2 linked regions of the Neodiprion lecontei genome follow. The main gene of each other region encodes a partner of the protein of the gene in region 2 in a complex. Links are inferred from orthologs where the notes say so. Each region holds a gene or a part of one and is shown on either strand. Other genes may lie near its edges.

The links. Proteins that work in one complex are often made in the same cells at the same time.
Region 1: the proteins of endoribonuclease Dcr-1 (region 2) and RISC-loading complex subunit tarbp2 are in contact, whole or in part, in a cryo-EM structure (PDB 8DGJ), measured with the Drosophila melanogaster proteins. The link is inferred for Neodiprion lecontei from reciprocal best matches to the Drosophila melanogaster genes Dcr-1 and loqs. Residues at the interface, in NP_524453.1 of Drosophila melanogaster: His245, Phe248, Asp251, His252, Arg253, Asp255, Glu258, Ile259, His303, Tyr306, Gln307, Glu310, Lys311, Lys313, Arg320, Leu323, Cys326, Leu327, Ser329, Thr330, Ile333, Gln334, Tyr336, Ser337, Leu338, Glu340, His341; in NP_609646.1 of Drosophila melanogaster: Thr358, Gln359, His360, Ser361, Lys363, Val364, Phe367, His368, Lys372, Ile414, Glu415, Glu416, Lys417, Thr418, Phe419, Gln422, Gln424, Pro433, Val434, Gly435, Val436, His438, Ser440, Asn454, Tyr458, Ile461, Met462, Lys464, Lys465.

What each region holds. Positions count from the first base shown.
Region 1 is NC_060261.1:39,598,498-39,603,536, forward strand, and holds the start of RISC-loading complex subunit tarbp2, read right to left. Parts: upstream 3,135-5,039; 5' UTR 2,905-3,134; intron 1,675-2,904; 5' UTR 1,666-1,674; coding exon 1,350-1,665; intron 558-1,349; coding exon 422-557; intron 310-421; coding exon 6-309; intron 1-5. Other genes in the region: general transcription and DNA repair factor IIH helicase subunit XPB, read left to right, coding at 4,261-4,294, 4,396-4,607, 4,682-4,792, 4,892-5,039.
Region 2 is NC_060263.1:27,267,416-27,272,261, forward strand, and holds the start of endoribonuclease Dcr-1, read right to left. Parts: upstream 3,033-4,846; 5' UTR 2,628-3,032; coding exon 2,568-2,627; intron 2,381-2,567; coding exon 2,265-2,380; intron 2,183-2,264; coding exon 2,023-2,182; intron 1,682-2,022; coding exon 1,389-1,681; intron 1,296-1,388; coding exon 933-1,295; intron 775-932; coding exon 614-774; intron 540-613; coding exon 331-539; intron 161-330; coding exon 1-160. UniProt on the Drosophila melanogaster protein: Endoribonuclease which functions in microRNA- (miRNA) gene silencing and, independently of its ribonuclease III activity, also acts in the short interfering RNA- (siRNA) gene silencing pathway.

The DNA.
Region 1 (5,039 bases), on a different chromosome or scaffold from region 2:
CCTACCTCGTCATCGTCAATTCCTGGACTCTGATTGTTCTCAATCGGCGTATCACGCAAAGTGCGCCACATCTTGTCAGCAGCTTGTCGTTTAGCAAGTTTCTTGCTTTTTCCAATTCCAACTTGCCTGTACTTCAGTATAGAGCAGACAATGGTGAATTGTCGCTCGTGAGGTAGCCCTTCCTCGCCTTCCATGGTGTATTTTGGCGGAGGCCAGTGATTAGACATGCACATTTCTTGCAACGAACCAATTGGATTTCCAACGACCTTGTCCTCCCCATAATTTTGCAGTTCCTGAAGATTCTGACCCCTGTTATAACGTCAGCAATTGTCTTATTTTCTGAATCTTTTCTTAACTCACGAAAACAACATCTCACAAAATGAACAAACATCGGAGAAATAAAAAAATACAGTGTACTTACTCAGATATGCTGTTAGGCAGTGGACCCTCTGATGTTTCAGTATTTACTCCAATCAGTTTGTCGAGGACTGCTTTAGCTGCGGCGTGTTTTGCCTCCTTCTTAGATCTCCCAGTCCCCATAGCTGAAATGGTTAAATCTGCTTCATTCGTGCAATTCTTTTCGAGTGATCTTATGGATTCATTCCAAAAGTGACACGGTGCAAAGACTAATGCTAGACTATACAGCTGATTCTACAGAAGCATTTGAAAATTCTAAAAAATTATGACAAAACTTCAGTTTAAATCAGCGCACAATAATACTCAAAAATGAAGGCTGAATGCCAAATAATTTTGTCTTTTATACGAGAAAATATTTAGGAGTATGACAAACATCAAATAAGTATCAATTTCAATGTTGAATGATTTAGTAATGGACTGGATTGGAATAGAATATTATATGATTGAAAAAAATCAGTGCTACTTATAATTTCCATTGAAATTGAAAGGGTGAACAGATATTTCAATATAAGCTACCATGCTTAGGAAATTGATGTTCAATCATTTATTACATCAAAATAACACTCTCACTCATTCATATTGGTTGACACTAGTATGAGGTAATTGAAAATCATATTTCAGCCTTGTTGTATTACAAGAATGCGAACAATTAGTGAAGAACTTAGACAATTATTTGTAGTGACAGTTAAAAATATTTTGATAAAAGTGTAGAACCTACGCTATCATGCTTACAAAATTAATTTTCATCAATTATCCTTATTTACTGGATTCCATCAACAAACGAACTGGGTAAAAGAAAACCATTTGTCAGACCCTTGTTTTACACAAAAGAATTGAACTCTCAATTAATTACTTAACATTTAATACGGCCAACTATTTACTTCAACATTTACACAAACTCTTAGGTGAAAAAATTTATAGGACATGCTTACCAACAACATCAGAGACAGTGACACGATAACGGAAGGTAGGTTCATGTATGGCACCCTCTATTTGTACAAGTTCATATTTTGGGGTAGTGCCTCTGCGAGACAGAAGCTCTTGCAAAACGGAAACAGGAGTTTTAGCAGGCATTGCCTTCATTTCTAAACGTGCTGCCTCGTCCAACGGTAATGCCTCGGACATAAGAGTGTGCATCGTCACACGATTCCTGCCATGACGATGTACGCTGTTAGGATGAATCGTTTGAACCCCAATTCCACTCATGATATTGGGCACGACTTGTTGAGAATGACGCATCTCGTCCATGTTATTATTCTGTAAAACAAAAAATAATAATTATCGTTTTGTTGAGAAGGAAAATATTTTGCGCAACAACTGAGCTAATATTTAGACATATGTGCATATCTATTTCTGTGAAATCAAGTGAGCAGCTTATTGCTCGACTGAGGAAAATTAAATATCACCTTAAAAATTTGAAGCTTGTACAAAAATTTTTAGAGAGTAATCAATATTTCTGTGAGATTGAATTGTTACCGTTCACTTATTCGATGCATATTTTTTAGATACTGACGGAAGTGGATTTTCTATTTTTGAAAATGAGCTACAAACAGACTCTCAAATGAACAACTCTACATCTACTTTTGCATTCTGACCCAGATTTGTCATATTAAAATATCAGAATCGACATGGTTATTTAATGCCTAACCATACAGCTAATCCTGAAAGTAATTTCAGGGGTAAGTCACATGCTTCAATGATATCCTTTAGCATCCGACTTACCGATAAGATTAGAGTTTAGAAATAATCACTCCACATACCGGTTCAAATATTGCGGTTTACCGAACTCTAAAACCTGCCGTATCTGAATACTTATCAACCTTAAGATCAATCCTTCGACACTTTCGTTGTAAAAAATTTACACGTCCCGAAAGGAGTTCCACAAATACTTTTGTAAATTTGACACAAATTGTGGATGAAAAATCCTGCGGCGAATAGCCGTAGATATCATGCTGTATTTTTGTGAAGTGACAAGTCGTCGAAGAGCACGCTTGTTGTATTGCGAAAATAGGAGATCGTCGTCACATAACTAGACTGGTTCGTCCGAAACAAACACGCGGTAAGTGAGGTGAAGGACAGAAAGTACGCTGGGTTCTACGATGACGCGTTGAGCCCATCAGGCACTTGCCGGTCCTTGATCCGAATGAAACGCGGGACAAAAATACGTCCGTAGACCTTTGTTATTCAGAGGTGTAAGCAGGTAATAAGACACCGGCGGACGGCCATGTTTGTTATAAAATTTTCATCGATTGAATCTTAAATTGGTAAGTAAGGACAGACCGGTGCGACGATGAGGGACGATTGGAGGATGGATGGATGAAGAAAGGTTAGATCTTGAGGGTAGTAGAAGTTGTAGAAGGAATGAAATAAAGATCTAACGCCCACAGACACGCATCGTGACATCGAGCGAAGCTAGCTCGAGGCTGCCACTCGTAGATATGCGTGGATCGCGAAGAGGTTCGACGGTGTTATGAGGCTTATACTCACAATTAACCACCCAGCAAAGTACAGATATCCTGACTTCTGCGGCTCGCCAATTCCTATGCGAAAAGCGAATCCCGCTTTTTGTGACCGATCCAAGTCTCACAAAAAGCTTGATCCGTTTGACGACAGAAAAATGGTTTATGGACTACCGGAGAATCCTTCCTTGTTTGCGGCTCTGCAGCAATATGCTCTCTGCTACATCAGACCTGCGCTGTGAACTTTTGCGCCGCCGGCATGCGCGCTTCGCCCAGGCACCGTATGATTGTGTTCTACGATTATAAGATTGTTACTGTCACGATATTCGCACTGAAGCAAGCTGCGGATGTCATTCAATTCTAAAACAGGTGAACTACGGTATTTTATTTTCTTCTGTCATTGCCGGTTGCCAATAATCATGCGTAAAATTATTCGCGCGAATAACGTAATTCGTGCGTTCTTAGCGATGAGCGCAATCTATGCGCCGTACTCGATGCGCAAGCCTTAAACTTGCCTGGGTGCCAAGTTTTGGTTACCAAAACCGTTGATTGATTACAGGAGAGCCGAATAAACAGTGTATCTAGATCGTTTCAGCAAAAACTCGACCACGTGGATAGTCCGTGGTGTAAACAGGCCGACTTTAATGCATGTCCACACGGACGCAACAGGATTACGGCAGTCCATGTACGATCAACAAATAACGCGCGATTTTTTCCTTTCAATTAGTAAATATTTTGATATTCGAGGTATACTTTAAAACCGACTTGAACAACAATCCTGTTCTCTTGGCGAATATAACACCGAATTTTGACTTACACTTTCGATAATCGTGCTGTAACACCTGGTTCTCATCATTCATTGATCGCGTATCGGAGAGAATTTTAAACCGAAGTATAAATATGTAATTATAATTATCTGGCTTTTAATTTTACTTTCTTAGTAAGATCAAGTTTCATTAGTTGTCAATTGTAACGTGTTTAGTGATCATTCAATCGCTCGTCCCTTATAATAATGCATATTACGACTATTGCAATTCGCTTTTTCAAGTTACAACCACGGTTACAACATGCTGCGCAGATCGTTTTTTTTCTCGGTTTTGCTCAGAAAACTGACAGCTCTGATCGAGATAGCTGACCTAACTTAACATGAAACGCACTTCAAGTCATACTTCAGCCAAACTTCAGGTTGCCTGTGAGGGCTGTGAGGTTATGTCAAACCAGATACAGTGCTGACCGTTGCCAGTCCGCAATGTGAGAGTTGTGTAGTGGTTATAAGTTTATTTACCGGGATTTACATCGACTGATTTTTCAGTGTCAAGGTGTGACGGCGTTGAATCAGTGTACAAATCATTTTGCCTGTGACTAATTTTTAAGCGGGGCTATCATGGGCCCGCCAAAGCGATTCAAAAAAGATAATGGTACATAACCCTTGAACACTTTTTCACCGTTCGTTTAGAGATACACTTCGAATTTTTTAATTTCTCATACTCATACGGTTCTCAATTTATTTATCATATAGACAAGGGCAAATGGAAAAAACGTAAGGAAGATCACGATGAATATTTCGACGACGACCACGGTGATGGTGGTGATACTGAAGGCATTCCTGATGCGGCTAAAAATGATATTGAAAAACAAGACGAAGGGGCTGTTGAAGACGAATTTGGAGCTAAAGACTATCGCTCGCAAATGATCTTGAAGCCAGACAACTCGTCGAGGCCACTATGGGTGGTACGTTGTTATTAGTCAATTAAACTGATCTCTGCAAATAAAAGAAGAATAATAAGAATATCCCAATTTTACAGGCTCCAAATGGACACATATTCTTGGAATCATTTTCACCGGTATACAAACATGCTCACGATTTTTTAATTGCCATTTCCGAGCCCGTTTGTCGACCAGAGCATATTCACGAGGTGAATATCAAATTTGATTCTTTATTTTATTCATGACTACCAAACATTTCGTCAAACCAAGCTCGCTGCAATTGAATAATTACGTACCCTTCCTTACAGTACAAACTGACTGCTTATTCCTTATATGCAGCCGTGAGTGTGGGCCTCCAAACCCACGATATTATCGAATATCTAAAACGGTTGAGCAAAACTAGCATCCCAGATGGAATCATTGAATTCATACAACTGTGCACGTTATCTTATGGAA
Region 2 (4,846 bases):
TTAATAAATTACATTCGTGTATTCGGAAGCTTTTTAAAACCTCCTCTTGTTTCCGATGTTGAACCTCCATGTCATGAGCAGAGCTTGTTCCCTCAGGATTCTTTTCAATTGTATAAAGTGGGGAGAGAAATTGTAAATCTTTGTCATACTTACAAGCGTCCTGGAGAAAAATAATCAACTCTTTGTAATTATATTTAGTTTATGACAAGTATTTGTATACCCAAATCTCACAAAAATGTAATATTAGGTTTGGAATGTTAGAATAACTTTTGTTGTGTCTTCTTTGTTTTTATGTAAAGAGTAAAGATATTAAAAGCAACAAAAACTTACATTCAATAGATAAAATAATATTTTTGCTGTAAATCCTTTATCCACAAAAATAACTCCGCACAACAGATCTGGATCAATTTGAGTACGTGGATACCGTGATTTTGGAGGTCTTTTAATACCAGTTCGTAGCTTTTTGACATTTCCAATGTATTTTGATTGTTGGAGGCCATCTTTTCCAGTATCAATGTCTTTCTTGCAGGCAGATACACCTTAATTAACAATGCATAAGGATATGGTTAATTATGAAACCACTGTTTCAACAGTGTCAAATGTTTCAACGTACTGTGTCCATTGCTCAGTTTGTTGTCTGGGATAGTCAATTCTTTTTTGCTGGATGGGGCATAACACTTGAGTATATGCAATAGTCGATGAACACATGGAGTGGAGAATTTGTATAATTTTTCTCTTTCGCTCAAATTTTCAAATTCACTTTCACAAATAGCTCTAGAAACCAAACAAACCATAATGTCTCGGTTTTTGTATTATATCAATTATAACCAAATGTATAAATTAGAATTGAGGGTAGAAGTGAAGAATCTACAGTGGCAAATCTGTTGGAGGAGTTTGACTACTCAATACTTGATATTTCATGAAACACATACCTTATTTTAATAAACAAGGAAACCACAACGTTGAATAATAAGTAGTGTCGCTCATAAGGGGTTTTTACTTTCAGCTTTTCTGCTTGAATTAGCAAAGCTAGAGCAGCGTGATTGGCGCACCAAGCCCCGAATGTTTGAAGTACGTACAAAAAGTCTTCTATCATTGAGCAAGGTTCCTGTTTAGGATCAGGAATCTTCTGTATGTCCTCGAGGAACTCATCGTTGTAAATTTCAGTGGGATCATAGCGATGATCACACAAAAAGTTCATAGCATGCATAGCACAGTTCTCCAGAGTCTGGTTTAATTCTTCATATTCGCCACATTTGTATTCTACAATGTACTCTTTTGGTTTTGGACTATATCTGAATCAAAATTGAATACATTCTTATTTTACACAAAACATAGTAATTGAGTGAACAAAGTGAAACAAACACAATAAGTAAGAAGATACAAACCTTAATACTGATACAATATCACTGGCTGTTTCAATTCTACAATGAAAGGTTTTTTCCAAAAGTTCAACTTCTGCTTCCAGTCGTCCTGGCTGACGAGTTAGATTAAAAACTGGTGCAGCAAAACCAATTAGTCGAGGACCGTTAGAGACATTAAATTTTTGTAAAACAAACTTTAGCTTTTCATCATTGACTGCTTTGTGGCATTGGTCTACAATTGCCAAATTTATTTGACTTGGATAAATTTTATTCTGATTCAACAGATCTGCACAAACATGTGATGTAGTAACAATCACCTTTAACAAATAAAATAAATCTGTATCAACAAATATGAACACAAATGATACAGACTTTATGTAGATTTAAATAACTTGTAAGATTTTCGTAAAAATGAGACATACATCAATCATGCTGTTGTTTTACATCACAATATTGGACGTTGATAAAATAGACTGCTATATAACACTTGTATATTTGATAATTGTGCGCTACTTTTTTGAGGAAGATTTGAACAAAGATCGAGTCTCTTAAAATAAAGACTTGTATTTTGAAAATCATACAGATATTACAGAATTACCATATTGAATAACTGGTTGAAAATTGAAATAAAATTTATATCGTTGATAACATATATCACCTGACTTTCAGCGAATTTTCTATCGAACTCTGGCCATGTCTCAGAATCACAGATAAGTACGCGTAGATCTGTTAATTGTTGTATATATACAGCTTTGGTTAAACATCGATCTGTATCTCTTAGAATGTATACTGAGCGCTTGCCTCCTTCTGACGGAGATCTGTGAACAGATGGAACTCAAGTTATCCAAAGATTTGAAGATGAAAAAACAACAATTGTAAAGAGAAACGACATAGCTTTACCTTCTGTTGTTAGTCGCCAACTCTTGAATTAGTTTGATAACAATAAATATTTGTTCAGAATTTTTTCCTAGACAAACTATTATGTTGCTCTCTAAAGCTGCGTAGAGGAGCTCCACCTAGCATAAAAAATTTTCACAAGGCACTAATTACTTCGATTTGTACAACTTGTTGAAATAAATAATGGAATTCAAAATGTAATTTGAAAAATGTAATTTAAAAAATGTAATTTGAGTAATGATAAACGAACTTTGGAAATTAGTTATCACTACATGTATGTTTTAGAATTATGTCTTATTTACTCACTTGATATTCTCTAGGAGAGAAAGACTTAGTATGAACTTGATCATTTAATGGAAATGCCATGGAGATTGTAGTAATGAAATGTTTTTATATCGTTGAACGTATAAAACCCAATTACGGGTTGTTTGATTTATCAAAAAACTAGCAAAACGTCAATAATAACGTAAATCAAGGTGAAACCTTATCGAAATGTGCACTCTAGACGAATAACAGTGTTGTACGGCTATTTTTATACGAAAAGATTTGACCAAATTTTAGGTTATTCTGCTTGTCAAATAATCGGCGGCACACAGATCTGTCTTCGCGATGTGAACCATAATTAATACATAGATTGGAACTCTCTAAAAACATTTGTTTATTTGCTCTAAAGAGCTGGTAGTAACCAGCATCTGGTATTGACAATCGGAACTGATATTTAAAGAGGCTGTGTACTCCAATAAATTGGTACGTATGTATACAATCAAATAAAAAAGTACATACAATCGGTAACTCTTCGAATAGTAGGCATATCATGAGCCTGAAAGGTGCGTTTACATTGGAGCTTCAATGTAGACGCACCTTAAAGCCTCACGGGGGCGCCATGCTCGATTTCGACGTGACGTATAGGTATATGTCAATGCAAAAAAGGGCTCACAGCCCGTTCTACCTATATGCGTTTTTGAACAGACACACACCAATTCATTTTCATTCGATGCAGAAATAAAGAAATTCCATGCATTGTAGAAATCTTTGTTTAGAATGGCGTATAGAATGGGGCTGTTGAAACCCTTGTTTACATTTGAGATGCGTGGACTTCGATATTTAGAGGTATATATGTCAACGTCGAAATCGAGCAAGGCACCCCCTTAGAATACGAAAAAAATTGCTAAAAATGGTAAGCACGACGTGACGCGAGTAGCAATAAAAAATTGTCAAGATTTGAACAAATGACAGATTATATGTACAAAAGAACGCATAATAGCACATCCCCGGTTTTTCTGCGTTGCTGGCTCGCATTCAGTATATATATATATTTCACTGTTCCATTCTAGACTAAAGAAGCGAGACATTGAAATCACATTAATTATATTATTTATAAATATGTTGCATACAAATAATAATAAGCTGTAAAACCCTCGCTCGTTAAAGCTCGCTCGGGGTCGGATGCCTAGTGCAGCTGGTTTTTATTCTTGTGCGCTCGCTTACTCGTTGTTAGTGTTTTACCAGATGATACGAAATTAATGAGATACCTCAGGCCCTCACTGCTCACTGCACAGTGCAGGAACTACGAAGCACTGGTCCTGGAGGTCGAAATTCACTAGGTAGCGAACCTGGAGCGCAGGCACCATAGAAAATTACTCGTAACGGTCAAAAGTCAACAGGTCAAGGACCTGGACAGCCAGAACTACGGAGTGCTTGTCTCTGAAGTCCAGTTTCTCCAGGTAGAGGACTTTGAGCGCAGAAACTACGGAGCGCGAGTCCTGGAGGTCGAGATCCACCAGGTGGAGGACCTGGACAGCCATAACTACAGAAAATTAGTCCTGAAGGTCAAAAGTCACCAGGTCAAGGACCTGGATCGCCAGTCCTATTGAGTGCTTGTTCCTGAAGTAGAGTTTCAACAGGTAGCGGACCTGGAGCGCAGAAACTACGGAGCGCTTGTCTGGGAAGTCGAGTTCCACCAGGTAGCGGACCTGGAGCGTAGAAACTACGGAGCGCTTGTTCCGGAACTCGAGTTGCACCAGGAAGCGGACCCTGAGCGCAGGATCCAGGAGGTGGAGAACCCGGTACTCGAAATTTGCGGAGCCCGATTCTCATCCGTCCGCTCTACTGCGCGGTTGTTTTCAGAATGATGAATTCGGTTAGCTGATTTTCGTCGTCGACGATTACTATAGATCGATGACGTCAGAGAAAAAAATTTCGGTGACGTCACTTTCTGAACATCCGAACATCCAAATTCTGGTTTTGAACTTTAATACTATGTATGATGTATAAATATGTTGCATACAAATATAATACCTATGTACATACGTATATATATATATTTACAGTTTATTTTACATAGTTAATACATGGTCGCTTGAGTAAGATCTTTATACCTATTGTCCCATAGATATTTAATTATTTCGACAAATCCTTCTTAGAAGCAGTTTCGTTAGATCATCAATAAATTACTGACGGGAAATTGTCAGAGTGAAATAAAATATATCTTCACTTATTGCAAAGAACTACATAATTGAATTATTTGCGATTTGCGGATTGTGTCAAGTACTTTTGGTCATAAGGTAATTCATTTCTAAAGCAAG